Oryza sativa Japonica Group: one gene and its partners. The protein of the gene in region 3 interacts with the protein of the main gene of each other region in a pairwise test. Links are inferred from orthologs where the notes say so. Each region holds a gene or a part of one and is shown on either strand. Other genes may lie near its edges.

Region 1 (4,249 bases), on a different chromosome or scaffold from region 3:
TTGGACTCTCCTATGCTGAGCTTCGACATGCCAACAAGCTCATCAACGTTGATTGGGCTCTTTGAATGAACTGGAACAGGCTTGACAATCTCATGTGTTTCTTGCACAGGACCATCTTCATCTTTCTGATTTTGCCAGAAAGGAACCGAGAATTGCAAAAAGGGCGAGAAATAAGCTGGAACAATCACTGGATAGGTCGACTGCAAATTATCTGGCATGATAGCAGAAGCGGAAGAGCTCTCTGCAACGGCAGAAGTATCTGACTCCATAGAATCTACCTCCTCCTCCTCCCTCGGTGGAGGTAGTGCTGGTTGATTTAATACTTGGGTCTCTGGTTCTTGACCTCCAGGAAGTGGTGGAAGGTCCATAGACTGTAAAACCACCAAAACACAGTTCAGTTCCCCCATTAGAGTACAGAGAAAACAGTACAACCTTTCTAATTCGAACAAGGATAAAAGTGTTCTCAAGTCTTCATGCAATACATAAATAAACTACACAATTTGTTCAAAAAGATAAGTTTTAGCAATATGATATCTATCACCACACAAATGAGCAATCTCCTCGTCTCAATATAAGAATAGACCCAGGCAGGCTTATTATGCTACATGCCAATATCAGCACAATAATCGAAATAAGATCAAGCAAGCTACCTCATCTGGCACCATGTCAAAAAGGCTAGACCTTCTTTTCCTTCTGGTCATATTGGATTGGCGTATAAAATATTTCTGAGCATGACTGGCTACTTGAGTAGGTGTTCTTGAGACCACGAAATTACGAGAGATTCCTCGCCAATCACCTTTGCCAAGCTTTTGCAATCCAAGCAAAAACCTCCGGTGTTCTTCTTCAGTCCAAGGAACACCTGTCAAAGTCATCTTAATCAGAAACATGGCACACAGAATGTGGCCTGCAGGCACGCAGGTAGCGAGTAATGACTGGAGTACAAGAAGCTGGAGAACTGTAATAGTTAAGCTCCCATCATATACTGACAAAAATACCAACAAACTTGGGACTACTACACAAAATAACAGTACTGCCTATCACCAAAGGAAAATTATCCAGCCCAAAAAAGAGCCCGTTCCTAAGAAACAGGGCGCACAGAGAGAGGACTCCAATCTTAAAAAGTAAAAGGATTCTATGAGATTCCAAGAGAAATGCCAGAACATAAAAGGGAAAGAGACAAATTTTATGTCTTTTGCCACCTTAACAAGTTATGCAGAAGGTTAACAAGATTAAAACATTGTCAATCTGGCATAATCCTCTTAACAGAATAAATGTCAAAAGAATAGCAAATTGTACATTTCAAGGCGATTTCTTTTATCCAATTTAGTGCCTTTCATTACAAATTGATAAAGGACAAACATATACTTTTGACTTTTCCAATACATTTAAGTCAGTAGGCATATAAGTCTAAAACTGCACTCCAAGCATCAAATTTGGATGGAAGTACAAGTTAATGAGGCAATGACAACGCAGTCTACCAATGGCATGACCTCTAGTAAGGCCGTTACAGTAGGAACTACTGCCACAGTAAAGATCAAACAATCACGTGCTGCTTTGAAGCTTTCACACATTAACATAGGCATGCCATTAGGAAGGTTCTTGGGTTTTGAAAGCTGACAGCTTGGAAGACTTTTCTTGGACCAACACCGCGAATATAACTACGCAGTAAACTAGAAATCATTCTGAATCAGAACAGAGCTAACAACACCGTACGCAATCATAGGTTCCAATCTCCGATGATCGGGTGTCTAAACATGAGAACACTGAGCCTAGTTACCAGCCACTCACAAAATCCCTAATTCGACACTGTTATCCTCTCAGAACACGTGGCCCCATGCATCCTTGCAGAGGCAAAGGATCAAATTAAAAAGTTCCACAGGATCAGCCATCATTACTCGTTGGAACGATCTGGTCTGATTCTAAATTCTTACTTATCCTAGACAAATATGGAGCTGAGCATGAGTTTGACAAAACGTCCTTGTGATCTCATCAAACAGTTGGAGGCATCTATACGCCGTCCTTGTACCGAGAGTAATTAATTGAAGTGGAGTGGCGTATGCATGAGCTAAGTAGTACCAAATCACTCATCCATGACCATCAGTACAATCTGCCCATTAAATGCTTTCTCTAGCGTCTGTCCTACTTGGAAGAAACAACTAGCAGTGACTGCTAGTAGCAGTACTCCATCAAATCTCCCAAATCTACACGCCGAAGCAGCAAAGGAAGAAGAACATACTAGTAGGAATAATAATAAAAAAAGAAGCACAAGAAGAAGAAAAACCTGAGGTTGGAGAGGATCTAGTAAGTCGCATCAGGCCAGAATGGTTTTTGGGATGATTAAATCATTGAAATTAAGGGGTTGGGAAAGAAGAAGAAGGGGGGGGGCTGACCCTTCTTGCGGTCGCGGGTGGCGGAGGAGGAGCCCTGGACGAAGTCGTCGGAGGCGTAGCCGTCGGCGGCGGTGGGGGCGGCGTCGGGGCCGTCGGCGGGGGAGGCGCCGCCGCTGGTGGATCCGGCGGCGGAGGAGAGGAGGGAGAGGTTCCCCATGCTGGCGCTCTTGCGGATGGAGCCATCGGTGAGGCGCACCCCGAAGATCTTGACCCCGCGGTTGGGGCACGTCCGCGAGTTGTGCCCGTTGTGGCTGCAGTGCGAGCACCGCCTCGTCATCCCCCCCTCCGTCCCTCCACCTTCCAAAGCTTCCCTTCCCCCACCTATGGAGATCGATCGATCGATCGAGTGGAGACGGAGATGGTGGTGGTGGAGACGACGAGGAGAGGGAGGGGGGAGAAGAGGAAGGGGAGGAGAGGGGTTAACTGCTGTGTGGTGATTGGTTAAGGTGGTCGGAGAGAGGCGAGGGCCGTCCACGTGGCGGATATTCGGGGGAAGGGGATATACGTGAGACGAGGGAGGCAAGTAGCGGCGGCTTGTGGGTCACGCCTTCTTTCTATCCGTCCACGCGGTTGGGCTTCCTTCCTTCGGCTGCTCTCCTCAGCCTCAGCCTCTGCTTCGATCGTTTCGTGTGGTGACTGGTGAACGATCCACAGCAAACGGCCCCCAACAAACTCTCTCTCGCTGCTAGCTCGTCAAACTGTCGTGGTCTTTCTTTCTTTTCTTGTTTTTTTTCTTTTGAGCGATGTCATGGTCTGGTTTAACTCTTCTACTCGTAACTAAACAGACGTTAACTAAAGATGAAAAATGCACGGATTATTCTACGCCAAAAAGTTTATGGATTCTAAATGTGTTGCTTCTTGGTGTACCATGTAACCCTAATGTGCCACGGGTGAACGTAAATCCTGAATAGTTGAGGATTAGAGGTTTGTCTCACTATAACTATCAATACCAGGTTTTGGTTGATTTTATCAGCTAAATGCCAGCTAGATAAGGAAGATAAATCACACGTATCTGATTCCTAAAGACGGAGAGTTAGTTTTGTGAACAGTAGAACTAATTCCTAACCAAATTGGAGATAACCCTCGAGCCCCACCAGCGCCTATATAAAGAGATGAAAGGCAAAGGAGAAGGGATGTCGTACTCTTTGCCTAAACCCTAAAACTTGCACTAGAAAGGATTCGTGAGGTGATCTCGGGAAGCCCTCGGTGATGAAAAAAGAAGAGAAGAAAAGAAACCGAAGAAGAAGAGAAGGAAGAAACAAAAGGAGAAAATTAACACCAATGGCATCTCAAGCAGGTCGGTGAGATTACAATTCTACATAGGTGATTTTGTATAGGCTAAAGCATTGAGATTGTAAATTTGAACTCCAACACGAGGATGTCAAATATTTTTGTAGAACGCTCACTTTGTTTCACATTAGAAGACAATAATGCTAATGACATTTTTACCTATCGATCCTATTGGAGAGACAATATTAATATGATGGTGGAGTCCATCCACGAGGTCCATAAATATGCGTCTTTATAGTAGATGTTGAGTCTAAAGATTATACAACCTTTATCAAGTTAGTGTCATGTGGTATGCTATGATTCGTTTATATATGCATCAACCTATACTCTATATAAGGAATTATGCTTCCTATAGAGTAAGGGAAAGGAATTATTGATGCTATTTGAATGTGTATTACGAGGACACGCTGATAGCTATGTACGTGTATGTATTTCATGGGACCTAAAATGTGCACTCACTCTTTCTGCAAGCATAAATCGAGGCTTGTTCAGTTTGCTATCATTTTCAACCTTATCAAGTTTTGGCAAAGTTACTTAAAAAAGTAGCTACATTTAGTTTGTTGCCAAAT
Region 2 (4,014 bases), about 3.3 Mb from region 3:
CTACCTCCCTGGAGGATGGATCATCATCTTCATCTTCTGAGATATCATCTCCAGTGCTGGTTATATCTGTATAGTTTGCCTGTCTAACAAATTGCCCTCGCACCCTCGGCCTTGTTTCAGCAAGTTTCTTCCTATTCACGTACCTCACCTTCTTGTCAAAACAACGTTCCTTCCTTTTCAGCCTGAATTTGGCAAGTGCTGCAGCTCTCCGTTCAGACCGACTACATGTTTCCTCGGGCATTGGTGTGCTTGATGCCTGTGGCCACATATTTTGTGTTGGCAGTTGATTTGATTGAATGCTCATACCAGCAGGATTATACTGAAATGGTGGCATCATAGATACACCATGACATTGGGGATAAACATTATACTGAGGGAGCAACGTTTGTGGTGTATGCACTTGAGCGTTGTTTATGTTCCCTTGGAAATTTTGCACCGGAGGATGTGTCATACCGTGGTCCATCATCCCTGGGTAATAAAAGGGAAAATGATATACAGGAGGAGTTCCTGAAGCATCATTTTGGCCTTCATTGCTTCGCTCCAGATGCAAGTTAGAGGAAGAAAAGCATACCACAGGGTATTGCACTGGCATCTCAAAGGCTTCTTTATCCCGAATATTTACATCAGTGCCAGTGTCACTTCTGTCAGTTGTACTAGAGAAATTACCCCTGTGATCCGAAGAGTCTAACCGATTTCCACCTTTTTGTAGTTCGCTGTCAAATGAGCTGGTAGTTGGGGTGCTTGACTTAACATAAGCTAGAAAAGCAGAAGACTCAGCAACCCTCAAGTTAGTCTTTATTGGACGTGAAAACATTACTCCGGGAGATGCTGGCATAAAAGCAAAGGCATAAACCTTAGAAACTATTCTTCAATTGGGGGATCTGCTAAATCAGCTAAAGGAAATGGTTTAAGGCTCAAGATACTTACAAGCTTGGTCGCCGCCTTCAGTAGAGACTAGTAAACCCTCTGGTGTGCCTTTTTGTTTAGGCTCAGCATCAGAAGGATTAGACTGCAAACATATCAAGAAATGCAAGGGCATTTAACAAGTAGACTGATGCAAAAAATTCAGCATCTTATCATCATCAATTGAACATATGAGGCAAAAAGGCATGCTCTAGCATCTAAACAGAACACAAAGGTAGAAAGATACTAAATAGAGAAGTAGTATGTTGGACAGCAAAATATAAAAGGATAACTAGTACTTGATTGGTTACCTCATATTCATGTTGATTCGAGGTGCTTGTTTCTTGATTAATGTTTTCTTTTGGCTTATCATCTGTGTCATCCGAGAGAAGAGTGGTGCTGTTGGTATTGGCGTCACTAGGTTCCGATAACGCCAACTCGAAATTGTCATTGAAGAAGTTTTTCTCCGACAAACCAAGCTGCCAACACCAACATTCAACTTAAGATCAACTCATACACGCTACAGCAACGCCACAGCCATCTCAGCTTAGAGCATGCTTTTCAACACAGAATTTGAAGATGAATCAACATAGTCCCCTTTACCATCCGCCTTCGCCGCCACACATGGGTCCAGAGGTTCAGCAGCTCGTTCATGCGCAGTGGCTTGACCAGGTACTCGGCTGCCCCGAGACGCAAGCACTTGACAACAACAGAGACCTCGTCTCTGTTGGACATCACTGCATAATTCGCATCAAAGATGAGGATGGTCACTACAACAACCCTACGAGCATGGGCATCAGAGGAATAGGAGGACAGCTTACTTATGATGGGGATGTGGCGCAATTCCTTGTTCCTGGCGATGTATTTGAGCATCTTGAAGCACTTGGAGACGGGCAGATCGACCTCGGCCAAGATGATGTCGATCTCCCCCGCCTCGCAGTTGAGTACGTTGATCACCTGCCTCGGAGACTTGGCGCAAGTCACTGAAACAAAAACAAAGACGTATCATTCCATGCGAGAAGGTGTGATAGAACTGCTAATTCATCTACTAAAGCAATCTTAATCCTTAATTATAAGAGCAAACCAAATACTAAGCAGACAAAGCTGAACTGACCTTGGTATGAGCAGTTGCAGAGGAGGCGGAGCACCTCCCGTGAGCTACTTGGGTCGCTGTCGCAGAGCAGAATCCTCACCTTGCTCCGGTCCACGAACTGCTGCCCTCCCCCTACCGCCGCCCCGCCGCCAACGCGATCCCCCTCGCCGGCGCCCACCATACCCCGACCCGCACGGATTCCCCCCCTAGCCACTTGTCACCAGCTGCCGACGCGTCCGAATCAGCACGAACAGCACAGCAGCCAGCAGCAGCTGCCGGCGCCTAGACTAGACGACGCAGGAGGACGAAGCGGTTGTTGGATCTGCGGGCGGCGCCTCCTCCTCCATATCCCGTGCCGTCGCCAGTAGTATCGCCCCCAGAGGCTAAGCAGTGTGCTACCGCCGCCACCCGCCGCCGACGCCGGCGGCGTCCTCCTCCGCCGCGCGTTGCGGTCCGGCCCGCACCATTATCCGCGCCTAATCTATTCAGGAGGCGGCGGCGGTGGTGGTGGCGGCGTTGGTGTCCGCTCTACTGGCACAGGATATTTTCCTCCCCCTACCTTTTGCTTTCCTCTCTCGGTGGGGCACGCGGCTCGGCTCGGCTCGGCTCGGCGAGAGATGAAAGAAAGAAGAAAAGGCCTCGTCACGCCGCGCCGGGGCGGTGTAAAAATAAACGAAACGGCTCGTCGCGAGCGGTTTGTGTCGCGTACTCGCGTCGCGCGGTGCGGGTGTGCGTGTGCGTGTGCCGGTGTCAATGGATTCGTCACGGGACGGGACGGGACGAGCCGCGAGCCGCGGCCCCGTGGGTGGGAGGGCCAGGTTGGATGGAGGGGAAGAGCCGGGCGTGGTTAAGCCAGATGGGCCCGGCCTGGCGGCGTGTGATTTCGGTGAGAAAATATCTACGCCTACCTGGCACGGAAATATCTTAATCGCGGATGCGATTAGGGGCGGCGGGCGTGGTGGGGCCGTGGCCGTGCGATACGGGAGCCGCCACGCGCGCGAGCTGGGGGCCAGCGAACGAACGCCAGGGAGACGCGCTACTGTAGTAGTACTGTGGAAACGACGACGCGAGAGGCGGAGGGAGGTGGTGCCGTGGTGGTGCCGTGGGAGTGGGAGCGCCACGCCCACGTACGTGCGGCGGCGTCCACGGTGGCCGCGTCCCCGCCCTCCGTTGCGGATCACGACGAAAGCCGCGCCAGCCCACCGCGGACGTGCCAAGGCGGAGAAAAATCCAGAGGGAAACGCGGCTCTCACGTTTTCACGTAGTACAGACCTTGATGGGCAGCATGGCGATACGGTGGTGGCTGGGCTGATGAGTAAAAGATTTTGAGCTACCGGACGAGACGAGTGGCCGGTAGAGAGCAGCAGCTGGATGGGGGGTGTTTTTTTTTTCCCCGTGTTGGCAACTTGGGATGCCCATTGCCACTACGCCGATCCGGAGAGCGACTGGTCGTGGACTTGTGGTGGCGGCTCGTGGCGCCGGCCTAGCGCTTTTTCTGTAGCTTTGCTTTTCTTGTTTGCCACTGGCGATGTACGTGGTGGCCTCCGGGCTCCGGCAGCAAATCAGCGATGCTGCAAAATGGGTTTAGCGTTAACAGCGCTGTCGTTTGTTTACTGATCTGTTACCAGCGCTGTAATTCAGTAATTCAGCAGAATGGTAAACACAACCAAGATTTTTGATTGCAGCTCTGAACTATGGCCAGGCAAAACAATCATTTTGACGAAGGGTGTTTCCTCCAGTTCACTGGCTGTATTTCTTCCACCGAGAGGAGTGGATGGTTGGTATCAGTGACGACACAACAACATCTCGATCTCAAAAATCTGGAGGCAGGCTGGCAGCCAGTAGCAGGAGCTTGGAGTGCCGATGTCATCAGTCTCATTCACAGGACGCACTAATCATATTTATTGCTACCAATGAAATCATACAAAATGAGTTATTAGCTAGAGTAGTGCTGCATACAGGCTTGAAAGTCACCCAAAGCTACTACTATCAGCAATAAGTTGTTCTGACAGTGGAAG
Region 3 (4,053 bases):
TTAGCGCGATGAATAGCACAGCACGAGCAGAAAAACGAAAATGACTACAGGACTAAATGCAGGAGCAGTGAGCAGTCCATCTATCCATTCATCAGCTGATTCTTGTACTGGCAGGCTAGTATCTATATTTCTATGTTCACAACACAGATAACTTCCACAAAGTTCAAGTTAAAGCTGGCCACAAGATCAATCCTTGCTGCAAGTTTCATGCTTTCCGTAGCTTAGCAGGAGAGTAGAGTAATGAATATATCAAGAGATCACCAACATAAGACACATGTGAACTGATGGAATAGAAGAAACGCCAAGGCTTCAGAGTCGAACATCCTTCAGAAAACATCTGCATGGCAAAAAAGGGGGTTTCATATCAAATGTACAGGGTTACTACATCGATAATAGACAAAGGTTAAGATGATTCACAAGACATTAGAAATGCTAGGCAGCTGAAGGAGAAGTTAAATATTTTCGAAGTAGAACATAATCAAATTCCATGCCATGTTCCATTGATGTCCCAGTTGTGAAGCGATTTGAACATTGCTTGGATTGCGAAATTTGGCGGTATGTCATGCTGGCATTAAAGAATATATCATCTAAGCAAATAAAATGCAGCTTGCACCAGAGAAGAGTAAGCAGGGAGGCCTAGGAATTGTTGTATGGGCTTTATGTTTATACAGATAGATTAAACAATCTGCTGCAAAAAATATCAAATTACTCAATATAGAATTAGAACTGTTGGGACTAAGATTAAAAGAAACATATATATTACAAGGACACTGACATAGACAATAATATCCAGAAACAGTATCTGAAGTGCGAGTACGGTAGGATAAATGGCAGTCAGACATACTAGGTTCTGCTTCTAGTTAGCGCTTCTTATTTGATGTTGAACAAAATACCTTGTTGGCTCTTGTTGTGATGGGAATTTACACCTTGTAAACAGAATAATGAAAAGAATGGAGCATAGTCTAAATCTGTTTTTTTTTTCCATCAACAGTCAGAATATAACTTACGATCATAAATAGACACAAGTCCAGGACATCAAGAAAATAAGAAGATTTCATCTAATCCTGGTCAGTGCTGACTAACATTGAGGGAAGGGGCAGAGGAGGTGGTACAATCACAGGATGAAATAATGGACAAATGAAGGTGACAAAGTGTCATAAAAAGTGCTTGTGTGCTGATTGATGTTTCGATTTGGTTTGAACCGATAACCTTTGTTCAGTTGGTGCAAGTACAACACCACTATAATAATCATGCCTTCTAGTTTGTATGGAAATGAGGCATCTTGTATTGTCGATCATTCCAGAAACATATCCACCAGACAGTTCATCACAAATTGAGTTCACCCAACAATATTAGGAAATTCTAACCTTTATAGGACTGATGAATGAGGTTACTTTTGCAGTATAATGTAGAAGCTTCTGATAAATCAAATTCAACAATCCCAAAATCTAATACTAATGTTTAGAATCAGCATTATTCAATCTTAAAAATATTATGCTATGAATCAATAGACTATTTGAACCATGAAGGGCCAAAGGAACCAACCTCGTCAGACCCTGAGAAGCTGGACCTTGTTCTCAAAGGCAATCGATATCCACTCCGGGTAAGCTGCCGCCCATTGCAGTTGGTTTATCTCTGCACCGGCATCATACACCATCACAGGATCAATCCCCTCGGCCGGCACTGCGCCGGGCGTCGCTGGCAGCTCCCAAATCAGCGCTTGGCCGTCGTCCCCAGCCGAGCAAAGGTGCCTCGTGGCCTGTGGCGCCCAAGCGACCGCGTTGGCGCACGCCCGGTGTCTGTGTAGTTCGGCCACCGGCACCCCGGGCGCGCGCATGTCGAGCACGACGACGGCGCTGCTGTCCATGAGCAGGGTGGCCATGTAGTGGAAGTCATAGCGGTTCCATGCCAGCCTGAGGAGCGGCGTGTCCGGGCGGGGGCTCTCGTAGAAGATGGTGGAATGCTCCTTGTCCCGGAGGTCGAAGACGCGGACGGAGCCGTCGGCTGAGACGGAGGCGAAGATGCCGTTCTCCCCCCAGGCGATGTCGTGCACGGCCTTGTCGTGCGCGATGAGCTGCGTCTCGACGACGCCGCGCTCGATGTCCCAGATGGTGCAGGTGGTGTCGATGGAGGCGGTCCCGATGCGGCGGGGCTCGGCCTCGTTCCAGTCGAAGGAGGTGAGGGGGGCGCAGAACTCGGAGGCGGATGTCTTGCGGTTGTCGAGGACGGAGCGGAGCTCGGGCGCGGCGGCGGTGGCGGTGGCGGCGAGATCGTCGAGCGGGGCAAGCCAGAGCCGCAGCGCGTCGGAGGAGGAGGCGAGGAGGTGGGGCGCGGAGGCGGCGCGCGGGTGGAACTGGAGCTTGGTGGGCGGGTAGGGGTGGTCGAAGGAGAGCGCGGGGAGGGCGCGGAAGGAGGCGGCGGTGGGGTGGACGGGGTCGAAGGAGAGGAGGGAGACGCGGTTGTGGAGGTCCTCGAGGAAGCTGCCGGCGGCGAGGACGGGCGCGGAGGGGGAGAAGGCCAGCGCGTAGATGGAGTGCGGCAGCTCGCAGGTGAAGGCGTTCGGGTTCTGCGCCTCCGCCGCCGAGGCGGCTACCGACGGCGGCTTGGGCTGCTCCATGGGAAAAATCGTTGGATTCGCTTCGCTTTGCTTCCTTTCTTTCTCGGGTGGATTTGGGGATGAATGGACTCACGCGCCGCGGTGGTTGATCGGGTCGGGGAGTTCAGAGTAAAAAACGCGAGCAGCCAGGCCGAGCAGGTAGGAGGGACGGCGAAGGAGGAGGCGCGTCAACGCGCGCGTGCCACGGCAACCGGCCGGTAAACGTCAGCTCGGCACGAGGGTTGAACGGGCGACGATGCGGGCATGCGGCCGCCGGGCTGCTGCAGTTGGTGGCCGCCTGAAGCTGATTCAACGGTGGGGCCAGACCGTCAGTGACTTATAGTCAAAGCTGGTTTCGACTTTCGACTGGAATCAGTTTAACTTAAACAGGATGTACTCATTTACTCAACCAGCCTCTCATGAGTTCTTGAGCAACCGGCAGGACAGGTCAGTCCTCTCAAGCAATGCAAACGATGCTACTACCATCAGGATAGGGTAGTGCCCCATGGGGAACAAAAGAAACAAACAGTTAAGAGAAACTGCAAGGCAGAATTTGCGGCTTTTAACAGCTGAAAACCAGCTTAGCTAATAGTTGCCACTTAATTAATATAAAGGTTGCTCTCTTTCTCACAGATTAGAAAGGCAAAAATAACGAGTCTAGGAAAAACATTTTTCCCCAATTCTGATTTAAGCAGCAACTGAAGGCTACACATCGTCGCTCAGCGTGTGGAACTGAACAGAGCTCGGCTGACAATACCAGTTGCCTCAATGTAACGATCAACACAGCGTGATATGCAACTGCTCTCGCTCCCGCTCAAGCTTGATCCTGGCTTTGTCACGCACTTGGCAAAGCACTTGTTTCCAACAGTCTGTAACAACAAAACAAGAGAGAATTACAACCATGTCATGTGTTTAACAAAGAAGCAATGCCTGGAATTGGCATGTTTTATTTCAAACACTACCCTTTTTCTCATGTAATCTGTATTACATATATGTCATGTAAACCAACAGTGGCAGAATCACTTGATCAGCAAGACTAAGGGTGAGTTTGAGGAGAAGGTGATTGAGGAGATTGGGAAGATACGTAAAACGAGGTGAGCCATTAGCTCATGATTAATTGAGTATTAATTATTTTAAATTTCAAAAATGGATTAATATGATTTTTAAAAGCAACTTTCCTATAGGAAATTTTTACAAAAAACGCACCATTTAGTAATTTGGAAAGCGTGCGCGCGGAAAACGAGATGTTATCTCCCTCAATGTTACCCGAACGAACGCAGCCTAATTACTCATATGTCAAACTTCGTAGTAATAGTGTAGCAACAGGAAGGGTCAACTTCAATGCTAACTTTGTGAACACATATTTTACCTTTCTGGTCGTGGCAGGCCAGCACAAGTTAATAGTTCTGACTCTATGTTGAGTTCAAATATATAATGAACACAGAAGTGAAAGACAT

What was found. The genes of interacting proteins can lie anywhere in the genome.
Region 1: the proteins of protein TRANSPARENT TESTA GLABRA 1 (region 3) and transcription factor MYBS3 interact in binary tests that used the Arabidopsis thaliana proteins (3 or more experiments, as listed by UniProt). The link is inferred for Oryza sativa Japonica Group from reciprocal best matches to the Arabidopsis thaliana genes TTG1 and AT5G47390.
Region 2: the proteins of protein TRANSPARENT TESTA GLABRA 1 (region 3) and two-component response regulator-like PRR1 interact in binary tests that used the Arabidopsis thaliana proteins (3 or more experiments, as listed by UniProt). The link is inferred for Oryza sativa Japonica Group from reciprocal best matches to the Arabidopsis thaliana genes TTG1 and TOC1.

The regions. Positions count from the first base shown.
Region 1 is NC_089044.1:22,820,954-22,825,202, forward strand, and holds the start of transcription factor MYBS3, read right to left. Parts: upstream 2,804-4,249; 5' UTR 2,668-2,803; coding exon 2,391-2,667; intron 860-2,390; coding exon 651-859; intron 372-650; coding exon 1-371. UniProt on the Arabidopsis thaliana protein: Transcriptional repressor. Direct regulator of the transcription of peroxidase (Prxs) and reactive oxygen species (ROS)-related genes via the recognition of 5'-ATCACA-3' motif.
Region 2 is NC_089036.1:25,050,807-25,054,820, reverse strand, and holds the start of two-component response regulator-like PRR1, read right to left. Parts: upstream 2,804-4,014; 5' UTR 2,178-2,803; coding exon 2,018-2,177; intron 1,887-2,017; coding exon 1,725-1,886; intron 1,641-1,724; coding exon 1,507-1,640; intron 1,383-1,506; coding exon 1,215-1,382; intron 1,010-1,214; coding exon 928-1,009; intron 829-927; coding exon 1-828. UniProt on the Arabidopsis thaliana protein: Controls photoperiodic flowering response. Component of the circadian clock. Expression of several members of the ARR-like family is controlled by circadian rhythm.
Region 3 is NC_089036.1:28,395,254-28,399,306, forward strand, and holds the start of protein TRANSPARENT TESTA GLABRA 1, read right to left. Parts: upstream 2,814-4,053; 5' UTR 2,618-2,813; coding exon 1,550-2,617; 3' UTR 1,546-1,549; intron 338-1,545; 3' UTR 1-337. Other genes in the region: mitochondrial import inner membrane translocase subunit Tim13, read right to left, coding at 3,316-3,465.